Linked DNA regions of Oryzias latipes. The protein of the gene in region 2 binds, or shares a complex with, the protein of the main gene of each other region. Links are inferred from orthologs where the notes say so. Each region holds a gene or a part of one and is shown on either strand. Other genes may lie near its edges. The genes, in order: thoc7, thoc3 and thoc6.

Region 1 (3,756 bases), on a different chromosome or scaffold from region 2:
ATTGCTGGCATGCGTCTAGCTGATCAAATCCCCCTGGTGATCCGTTATGAAATGCTGCAACAATCAGCCAGCCAGCTCCAGAGAGAGATGCTGCAGATGATTCAGGACAAGGAGAACTTGGATTTCCTGCTGAAGGAGGACTTTGACATCGGCAGTAAGAGGGCTACTTTGCAGAATCGCCTTAAGCGCCTTTTGCAGGCCCGTGCATACCTAGTAGAGTTCTAAAAACTTTGAAGGATCTGTTTTCTGCATCTCCAAATTACATGTTAGTGTAAATGTTCAGTTGTTGTGTTTGGGTAGTCCAGTAGAATCTGCTGTTTCTAACAGGAATGATTATCTTACAGCAGCAAAAGTCATTATATGGGCACACAGATGTTTTCCTTTTATATATTGTTATAATCACCTCGAGTGTGGAGCATGTTTTTATGTTCATTGTTTTATTTGGGCATATATATAGAGGGAAATTATTATCAGTCTGTGAACTTTGATTTTTTTATTTTTATTTGAAACAATAAAAGGGAAAACCAGACAGAGCGACAGAATCAAGAGAATTTTATTCAAAAATACATACGAAAAGCATTCTGTCTCACAAACCCAAACTCATTTAAGAACATTTCATTCTGTTCCACTGTTATTCACTGTTCCCTGCAGGGCTCTCTTGACTGGCATCTTCAATATCTGACTTCTCATCATCTAAAAGAAGACAAATTTTGAGTTTAACTTTTTGAAACAATTTTAAAATCAGTTGGCATTAAGAATAAAGTGCTCACTCTCAAGTGTCTGTTGTAGCTCCTGAATGGTGGTAAGAAGAACGTGGAACTGCTTCTTCCTCAACTCCAACTATGGTGGAACAGTAAATTTGATAGAAAAAAACAACAACTTTAAAATAAATCAAATCATCAGCGAAATACACAGAAGCTGCATAAATTCTGTTTGGATATACCTTTGCATCCACATTCTCTTTGATGTGGGACAGTTGTTGGAGCTCTTTGTCAAGCGCCTCTAGCTGCCTGAAAGAAAATAAATAAATAAAAATGAAGCAAAACTGTTGTACGCTGTTTACAAGCAATCGAAAATCTGAATTAACGGAGCCACTTACTTGAGTGTTTCATGCCTATCTGGATGCTGCTGGATTACCTTGGCTAATGCATCATATTCTGGAAAAAATACAAACATATTTATAATACTCCAAGGATGTTATTGAAAAAGGACAATAAATAAAATATGCAATCCATATCAAAATATCCTTGCCTTGGCGATTTTTTCGTATCCTCTTTGCCCTCTGAATATCTTTTTTGCATTCTGCAATCTTCTCATGTGCAGATGTGATGTTTTGTTCTGCAATGGGGGGAGGGTGGGGGGGGGGGTATATAGATGAAATCTAATATTGTAAACAGAAATGCTTCCAGACGAGAGCAATAAAACCTCACCTATATTTGAATAGATCTTCTCATAGTTTTCCATTTCTCTAAGATTCATGTCATAAACCATCAACGTCTTTCCCATGGAAAACTCACACTGAGCCAGAGTGCCCAACATCCGCTGGTACTGTGTGAATCTACACGCAAACACAAGACCACAAGGAATTAAAGTGAGATTTTTTGTTGCATATTTAACAAGGAAGACACCATTCTACTCTTCGGGTATATAAAAACACATCATGGAAATGTATAGAAACAGCCTTTTGAAATGCATGGTCAGAGTTGAAACATTGTGCTGTGTGTCACACTCTGCTTGCCATAGATTGTAGAGAAGACAGTTACTCTTCTCCTTGGGTAAGTATAACTGCATGCAACTGAGACCCGTTAACCTTCTATGGAGTTTGATAAACTAGCTTGGAATTGCCTGTACACACAACGTAAGAACTAACTAATGTGACTTTTCTTTCGCAAGAAGAGTTGTTCGTAAATGCTAAATCACATTAAAATCTGGAAAGTAAATCTTCTGATGCGTCAGCTCAGACTCAGATTCATTCAGCACTGACCCTTCCTCCGGAGTCCCGGGCGAGTTGCACCATTTAGTGAAGCTTTTAAGCAGCAGGTTGATCCGGCGGTCATCTCCGGCTCCGTCGCCATCAATAAGAAGACGTTTCCGAATGACTTCATCTTTAACAGAAACGAAAGAGACAAGATAAACTATAGGCTAGATTGCAACCTGCTAATCTGAGCTAGCACTGCAGGGCAATAAATTAGCTGCACAGTTCTCCCAACTGATTGCGTAAACACTGCTACATTCTAGAAATAAGCTATTGTATACAATAACTTAACACATAAACACTTTATTTATTTTTAATAAAACTTTATATTAAACGAAGTAACCACCAAATTACCATCTGTTACGGCCCCCATGTTTGCAATGAGCAATACTATTTCCGGTAGAGCAAGATTCTTTTTCCAGGTTAAAATCAGCGGTTTCATTTTCTACTGCCCCCTATTGGTGGACATTCAATGTGGCAATTTTTTTCCCACATTTTTGTGCTTTTTAGACTCAACAGCAAAATTGAACTTTTATTATATTGCAGAATATTATTGGACTAAAAACCAATGACAGTTTAGAATACAATTGATTTTGTTTTATTTAACATTTTGCTTTTAAAAATGTCAGCTTACATTGTAGCATTACACATTGAATTTTAAATTCTAAAATGCATTTTTTAGATTGAATGCTTAAATTGCAAGCTGAATTATCAATCGAGAATGGCACATTACATATTTTGTTTTACCATTAAACCATTCATTTTTACCATGTAGCATTTAGATATTAAAATAATTGAATTATGAAAGTTTTATCATTTTCTTTCTATTAAAATATTAACTTCCTTTACTTTTGACAGCAGCATATATAGGTTCCTTTCAAACGAAATAAACCTCATGTCAAATTAAATCCTCCAACAGACTCACTTGAATAAAACATGTAAGAAAGTCAGGTCAAACATAGACTTTTCTATCAGTCAGACTTTGCTGCATATTCGTTCTTTTCTACTTTTATAGTCATATATTAACATGACAACATTGGAGCAGAATCCAAATAAAAGAAAGTTTAATAAATAAATTAAAAAAAAAAAAAAACAACCCCAAAACATTATTAGTAACTCAAATCGTTAGCGTTTTTTTTTCAAAACCAAAGAGCCACAATGGAATCATAAAGGAGCTGCATGTAACTCCGGAGCCTCAGGTTGCAGACCTCTGTTCTATAAGAACCTTTAGCTACTAAGTGGCTATTGAGGACAAAGATTTCTATCTAGCTTTAATTTCACCATTTATAATAATTCATAAATAGTAATGTTACTGGTACGGTTATAGGTACAATACCTGCTTCAACTATAGATTTAAACAGGTTTTCATTTGGCCAACATATTTTCTTGGTCACCACTTCCTCGTTTTTTTTCTGACAGATCAATTCAGGTCTGATTTCATGTTTGTTCCTACACCTTAGAAAATTACAATGAAACTTGTTTGAAACTTAATGTGCTCTATTTCTCACCAGAACACCAGCCGTGTGGGCAAATAGAGTTTTGTTATTTAACAAAGGTTCACGCGTATATTAGATTTACAGGAAAACAGTACAAACTTTCAGCAGTTTGCCAATTAGAAATCAGAGGTTAACATATTCATGCCTAGATTTAACCAAACATTTTAAGTGGGAGTGTGTTATGGTTTTGAAAATACAAGCAAAGCACCTTTTTTAACAATCTCAAAAAGGATTTGGATACAGTCATTATGTGCAGATTCAGCACTTAGAACACCCTCATGGCTA
Region 2 (3,378 bases):
TTTTAAATCTTCTAACTTAACTTTTATTGAATCTTTTAGAAAAAAAACAGCTGCAGTTTCCAGCTTTTTCTGCAACAATTATCTCAAAAATGCATGTGAGATTGTGGAGGGGCTGTAGATCAATACAGACTATGAGTTTATCCTTCTTTTTTAAAATTTTTGGATGCTGGTGTGCCGCGGGATTTTTTTTAAGGTTAAAGTGTGCCGTGGCTCAGAAAAGGTTGAAAAACACTGATCTAGACCCACCGACAGTGCTCTGAATCTTTTTTCTTCAATGATTTGTGATCTTCACTGGTGTCCATGGATTACATGAAATCTTTCCACCTTTATCCACCTTTGTCATGGTAGGGAGAACATGTCAATGGGAGGGGGGGTCATCTAAGATAGCACAAGGGTTAATTATGGTCAAAATAAAGGACCAAATCCGTGAAATTCAACCCACACGTATAACTGAAGTGTCCCAGCACAGGAGGAACTGTTTTTCTATCTATAGTATTTTCTCCAGCATCTTACTCCGATACACATTTCTATAATTTATCATTTTAGTCAAATACTAAAATATTTATTCCGATAGTTGCAGCTCAGTTCAAGCATAAGTTAAACTCAATGTAAAATCAGAAACAGTTTTAAGTTTTTCTGCAGGTTAAAAATGATTTTATTATAAAAAAGTATTTTACAGCTGTACAGTACAAAATAAAAGGGGGTGAGTGAGGAGCTCCCTCTGCTGGAGACGGGACGTTACTGCAGAGCGCCCGCAGCCCCCCTTAGGAGTCGTTGGGAAGGCCAAAGAGCTTGACCGTCCCCGCCTCGCGGTTGTTGTCGTACTTGCCCTCCTTGTCGTCGCAGGCGTAGGCCAGCAGGGGTCTCTTTGGGTGCCAGGCGACGGTGAAGGTGGGGGAGTCACACTGCACCTCCCACAGCTTCTCCCCTGTAGGGTGGAGGAGAGATGGGCTTTGAGTGACAGCCGAGTGGGCGGGATCTTCACCGCCTGTGCGGCTGCAGGTTTACTGACCCGTTTCCACCTCCGCGATGTCGATGAAGTGATCCTCCGACGCTGAAGCCAACATCTTGCCGTCGTGGCTGAAGCTCAGCGTCCTCACCGGCCAGTCCAGCCTGCAGCAGAGCAGAGACTCGAACAAAGCTCGCAGCAAACGCCGGACCCTCGGCGGCTCAACCCACCTGGAGAAGCAGCGCACGCACACCAGCTCCTCCACGTCCCACAGGCTGACCAGCGCGTCGGCGCTTCCCGTGGCGAAGTACTTCCCCGTGGGGTCGAACTTGATGCAGATGCAGTTGGACGGGTGAGCGTTGATGGACTGGATGGGCTTCAGCTCCGGGTAACTGCGCAGCACCAGAACCTGTTTTTATTTCAATGTGACCGGTGGGCGCGGGTCGGCATGCGACAGTGGCGCTCTGACCTCAGGATGTTGATGCAGCCGTTGCCGTTGGTCAGGAAGAACATGTCGTTGTCGTTGTTCCAGGAGATCTCGTTCACCTCGAACTTGAACTGCTCCTCCGCCCTGGAGCGGTGCGTCTTTGCGTCGATGAAGGTCACCACGTCGTCCTTGTTCCCGACGGCGATGGTCTGGCCGTCTGGACTCCAGCAGATGTTGATGTTTTCACCTGGAAACAAAGTCAGTTCAGACGTTAAAACGTTCCTCGACATCGTTCCGGGTCTTCAGATCCGTCCCGGTTACCCTTTGTGTTTACGGTGGCGATGCACTTGGTGGTGCGGACGTCCCAGATGCGGATGGTTTTGTCTCCGGACGCCGTAACAAACAGGTCCGGGTTGTTGGGATGCCAGCACAGCTGATCCACGCTGTCGCCGTGACCCCTGTAGTTGTTGTCCTTGACCTGGGGAGAAGACGCACTTCAGTGGTTGGTGGCCATTAAACGTTTAGTACCGTTCTAAAACGGTATGAGTTAACATTTATGCTGCAGTGGGTCTTCCTCCTCCACCGCTGAAGTCTTTGTCCAACACAGAAACATGAAAGTTGGAAGACTTCAGCTTCCTGATGCAAACTCAGAGTCAGGATTCAAACCCAGAACCTCACTAGCTTCAGAACCTCAGATGTGCATCAACTAAGATGATGGATTAAAGAAGCTGACGGAACATTTCATGACTTGAGGTGAATATTTTCCCCTTCAAGTAACTCCCAGCTGGAAACATCAGCTGCTTCTTTTTTTTTAATAGTTTTTATTATTACTTTAGTTTTATTTTGACTTTTTAAGGGCGATCCACAGTGACAAAACACCGCCTTCTCCTCTGAATCCATCACTTCTCTGTTTTTAAATAACCTTCCAAGGAGTTTGGCACGCGCGTCTGTCTTTGTGCTAAAGCTAGCATGCTAGCAGAAAACGAGCCGGTTTCTCACCAAGCGGTCCTTTTCCAGGACGAAAACGCTCGCGGTTTTGTCGAAAGACCCGGACGCCAGCCTCCGGCCGTCGCAGCTCCACGCCACCGAGTGAACTTTCGCCGAATGAGCCGGAAACTCCCGACTTTTGCTGTTATTTCTGAAGCTCTCCTGCATCTCCTGATAGTACTGCGACGCCATCTTGGTCCCACTGTGTGACGTATGGTTTTTAGAGGAGAGCGCGAGGGCCCCCTGCTGGCCGGAGGACCGCGCGTGCAGTTTACTCATCGACCAGTGAGTTGACGCGTTACTGAAGACAGATCTTTGAACTATTGTTACTTTTTGGGAAATTCTTGGATCAACTGGAATTATGGGAAAAGACTTTTGAAAATAGAAAAACCAGATGATCCAGATAATTTCCCCATTGATAATAAATAAATAAAGATAAAATATTTATTATTTAAGATAATTAATCTTATCTTTACAGGCATTAAACATAGACATATTCTCATATTTTTGGAGCATTTTGGAACTAAAGTGTCACAAAGAAATGACAGTATTCTTCAAATAAAACACTTTTTGTGTCACTGACAGGATTTTTCTTTTCCCTGATTTTAGATTCCAGAGATGAAAGAAAATTGCAAAGGTGGTGCTGACATCATCAGGTCAAAAATAACTAATACTTCATATGATATGTGCTTTTATTTAGTACAAACAAATAAGGCAGACCGTAAAATAATCTGTAAAATGTAGACGTGTTTTAAAAAGTGACTTCATTACTTACTTCTGCTAATAATTCACCAATGAAAAAGACAAAGACTGTTTGGTTTGATCTGAACTGCAGTTTATTTCAGGTGTGAAAATTCCGGTTTAAAAACATGGAAACTGGATGCAGAAAATCAGTGTGAGGGTTCAATTCCCCCATCAGAGGGGGGGGGGGGGGGGGGGGGGGGGGGGGGGGGGCGGGTCAAAGCTGCAGGGTTTTACCTGCACAGGTGATCTCACTCTGACTGAGGTTTTCCAG
Region 3 (3,756 bases), on a different chromosome or scaffold from region 2:
CGTCTGTGTGTGCGCGTCTGTGTGTGCGCGTCTGTGTGTGCGCGTCTGTGTGTGCGCGTCTGTGTGTGCGCGTCTGTGTGTGCGCGTCTGTATGTGCGTCTGTGTATGTGCGTCTGTGTGTGCGTCTGGGTGTGCGTCTGGGTGTGCGTCTCTGTGTGTGCATCTGTGTGTGTGCGTCTGTGTGTGCGCGTCTGTGTGTGCGTCTATGTGTGCGTCTGTGTGTGTGCGTCTGTGTGTGTGCGTCTGTGTGTGTGCGTCTGTGTGTGTGCGTCTGTGTGTGTGTGCGTCTGTGTGTGTGTGCGTCTGTGTGTGCGTCTGTGTGTGCGTCTGTGTGCGCGTCTGTGTGTGTGCGTCTGTGTGTGTGCGTCTGTGTGTCTGTGTGTGCGTCTGTGTGTGCGTCTGTGTGTGTGCGTCTCTGTGTGCGTCTCTGTGTGCGTCTCTGTGTGCGTCTCTGTGTGCGTCTCTGTGTGTGCGTCTCTGTGTGTGCGTCTCTGTGTGTGCGTCTCTGTGTGTGCGTCTGTGTGTGCGTCTGTGTGGGTGCGTCTCTGTGTGGGTGCGTCTGTGTGGGTGCGTCTCTGTGTGCGTCTGTGTGTGTGCGTCTGTGTGGGTGCGTCTGTGTGTGCGTCTGTGTGTGTGCGTCTGTGTGGGTGCGTCTGTGTGGGTGCGTCTGTGTGGGTGCGTCTCTGTGTGCGTCTCTGTGTGCGTCTCTGTGTGCGTCTCTGTGTGCGTCTCTGTGTGCGTCTGTGTGTGCGTCTGTGTGTGTGCGTCTGTGTGTGCGTCTGTGTGTGCGTCTCTTTGTGTGCGTCTCTTTGTGTGCGTCTGTGTGGGTGCGTCTGTGTGTGTGCGTCTGTGTGTGCGTCTGTGTGTGCGTCTGTGTGTGCGTCTCTGTGTGCGTCTCTGTGTGCGTCTCTGTGTGCGTCTCTGTGTGCGTCTCTGTGTGCGTCTGTGTGTGCGTCTGTGTGTGCGTCTGTGTGTGCGTCTGTGTGTGCGTCTCTTTGTGTGCGTCTGTGTGTGTGCGTCTGTGTGTGCGTCTCTTTGTGTGCGTCTGTGTGTGTGCGTCTGTGTGTGTGCGTCTGTGTGTGCGTCTCTTTGTGTGCGTCTGTGTGTGTGTGTCTATGTGTGTGTGCGTCTCTGTGTGTGTCTGTGTGTGTCTGTGTGTGCGTCTCTTCGTGTGCGTCTGTGTGTGCGTCTCTTTGTGTGTCTGTGTGTGTCTGTGTGTGCGTGTTCTCACCTGTAAGTGGGTCTCTTGCTCCACAGGGGCTTTACGCTCTGAGGACAAAGGGCAGGAGGTCACCTGGAGGTCCAGGAGGACTGGGGTTCTGGTTCCGAGGAGCCTCACCTTCTTGCTGAGCTCGGTCCAGCTCCAGGCGCTGACCTCGCCGTTTCCAGCACTCAGCAGGACGCCGTCCGCCGACAGAAGGCTGAAGACTGGACCCTCGTGAGCTGCAGGACGAGACCCAACGTTCAACTAGAACCTTCTGCCGGACCCGGACCACGATCACCGGAAGAACCTTCTCCTGGACCCGGTCCAGCCGGACGGACTCACCTGTGAATGTCAGGACCGGTTTGAGGCTGGCGGCACCGGCATCTGGGCTGAGAGCTGCTGACAAACTGGAGACGGAGACACAGCTGAGAGCGCCGCCGTGCGCGCCCGCCCGCCCGTGCACGGCGGCGCTCGTTTCGCTCACCTGAACAGGCCGATCTCCCCGTAGTTGTTCCCGGCCGCCAGGAAGCGTCCGCAGGGAGAGAAGCTCTGAGAGAAGACGGACATGTGGAGCAGCTGGGGGCGGAACCAGAGTCCGGTTAGAACATCCAGAACAGCAGCTACTCATCCAGAACTTTGGTTCTTTTCTCAGTCACATTGAATCGGAACCAGACCGTGGTCTGGTGAAGTGCGGTCCGGCCAGCCGTCACTGAGTTTTAGCGTAAAATGTTTACATCCTGGTTTCTGGTCCACAAAGACGGTAAAGCGCTAATATCAGCCGAGTTATTTGATGTACAAATGTATTCATTAGATTGCATGTCTGGTCATTCAGCTCGTTCTAAGGTGACTGTCGGTGGATTATTGTTGGTTATGATGTTCATGACCATCACAGCCATATGGAGCTTTATAAACATGTTATACTATGGACGAGGAAGCCTGAGTGGGACTCGAACCTGAATTTCTCTCCAGTTAATTAGCGCTTTACCGGGACGCGTGTACCGTGAAGCATGATGTAACACCCCCCCCCCCTCCCCCCCAGGGGATGTGTCATAAATAAAGCCTCCATTAATATCAGTTTGCTGCGTTTGGCTGAAGTCGCTGCGGTTTTTCTACCAAATGTTTTTACTGATGTTCTGTTCAGAATGAAGGTTCTGGATCAGGTATTGGACTTTGTGGTTCTGTGGCTCCGTATTCCTTTACGGTTTATTCGCCAGCGGAAACGGAACCTGAGCGGGGTTCGGATGATGAAGCCGTCTGTCTGAGTCTCCTCCTCCGTGGACGGACTTCAGGCTCGGTTCGATAAAAGTGACACCGGGATTCTGTGCGCGCGAACCGAGTCCGTGTTCGGGTAACTCACCTCGACCGGTCCCATCCTGCCGCCGACCTGGAACCCCCAGAACCGAACAACACTGAACTTCCAGACAATAAACCTAGCGGCGCACAAGGCGCGAAAACCTCTGGCTCGAGAATATGACGTCACAGGAACGCACGGCATGCTGGGAGTTGTAGTGGTGTGACAAAGATTTCTGACCTGATGGCTCAGCAGGAACAGTTGAGCTTTTTCTAATCAGCTGCTGTGTGCGTGTGTGTGTGTGTGAGTGTGTGTGTGGGTGGGTGTGTGCGTGAGTGTGGGTGTGCGTGAGTGTGTGTGCGTGAGTGTGTGTACTTAGAAGGATTTTATTGATTCAACAGCTGAACCTGCAACCTCTGACAGATCCATTTGATCCAGTTTCTTACCGACAAAACCGAGTCAGAGCCGCAAAATCTCAGTACTCCACAAACGGTTCTGCTGCAGCAGAAGATCAGAACCTGAGCTTTAAACTGTTTCAAATATTGGGATTGAAAGCATTGGTTAGGAAGTTCACACGGACTCCACAAAGTATGTCTGCTTTCTTTTATTTTTTTCTTCAACACCAACAAAGGCTACAAATACAAAAAAGCCTTTTTACCCGTCTCAAACCCTGACCCACTTCTCTGCACACATTAAGCGTCTCATAGAAAAGACATAAATGCTGCTGTGGAGAAGGTCCACAGGTTCCTGGGGGGGCACCTCACTAACCACCTGTCCTCCTCCACCAACTCCACATCAAAAAGCACAACACCACAAACACACAACAACACCACAGAAACACAACATCAACACTGCAAACACACAACACCAATACCACAAACCCACAACAACATCAACACAACAAACACACAACAACACCACAGAAACACAACATCAACACCACAAACACACAACAACATCAACACAACAAACACACAACAACATCAACACAACAAACACACAACAACACCACAGAAACACAACATCAACACCACAAATACACAACAACATCAACACAACAAACACACAACAACATCAACACTGCAAACACACAACACCAATACCACAAACCCACAACAACATCAACACAACAAACACACAACAAAACCACAGAAACACAACATCAACACCACAAACACACAACAACATCAACACTGCAAACACACAACACCAATACCACAAACCCACAACAACATCAACACAACAAACACACAACACCACA

What was found.
Region 1: thoc3 (region 2) and thoc7 share a complex: the UniProt entries of both Homo sapiens proteins name them as parts of the transcription/export (TREX) complex. The link is inferred for Oryzias latipes from reciprocal best matches to the Homo sapiens genes THOC3 and THOC7.
Region 3: thoc3 (region 2) and thoc6 share a complex: the UniProt entries of both Homo sapiens proteins name them as parts of the transcription/export (TREX) complex. The link is inferred for Oryzias latipes from reciprocal best matches to the Homo sapiens genes THOC3 and THOC6.

The regions. Positions count from the first base shown.
Region 1 is NC_019863.2:16,703,244-16,706,999, reverse strand, and holds thoc7 (THO complex subunit 7 homolog), read right to left. Parts: upstream 2,438-3,756; 5' UTR 2,418-2,437; coding exon 2,330-2,417; intron 2,106-2,329; coding exon 1,985-2,105; intron 1,559-1,984; coding exon 1,431-1,558; intron 1,339-1,430; coding exon 1,252-1,338; intron 1,158-1,251; coding exon 1,100-1,157; intron 1,011-1,099; coding exon 944-1,010; intron 841-943; coding exon 771-840; exon of another isoform or gene 694-770; coding exon 632-693; 3' UTR 536-631; downstream 1-535. Other genes in the region: interferon-induced GTP-binding protein Mx, read left to right, coding at 1-225. UniProt on the Homo sapiens protein: Component of the THO subcomplex of the TREX complex which is thought to couple mRNA transcription, processing and nuclear export, and which specifically associates with spliced mRNA and not with unspliced pre-mRNA.
Region 2 is NC_019868.2:29,382,667-29,386,044, forward strand, and holds thoc3 (THO complex subunit 3), read right to left. Parts: upstream 2,591-3,378; 5' UTR 2,556-2,590; coding exon 2,376-2,555; intron 1,855-2,375; coding exon 1,698-1,854; intron 1,624-1,697; coding exon 1,419-1,623; intron 1,342-1,418; coding exon 1,180-1,341; intron 1,114-1,179; coding exon 1,013-1,113; intron 929-1,012; coding exon 765-928; 3' UTR 625-764; downstream 1-624. UniProt on the Homo sapiens protein: Component of the THO subcomplex of the TREX complex which is thought to couple mRNA transcription, processing and nuclear export, and which specifically associates with spliced mRNA and not with unspliced pre-mRNA.
Region 3 is NC_019866.2:289,730-293,485, forward strand, and holds the start of thoc6 (THO complex subunit 6 homolog), read right to left. Parts: upstream 2,715-3,756; 5' UTR 2,700-2,714; coding exon 2,562-2,699; intron 1,781-2,561; coding exon 1,689-1,780; intron 1,612-1,688; coding exon 1,547-1,611; intron 1,444-1,546; coding exon 1,340-1,443; intron 1,270-1,339; coding exon 1,232-1,269; intron 1-1,231. UniProt on the Homo sapiens protein: Component of the THO subcomplex of the TREX complex which is thought to couple mRNA transcription, processing and nuclear export, and which specifically associates with spliced mRNA and not with unspliced pre-mRNA.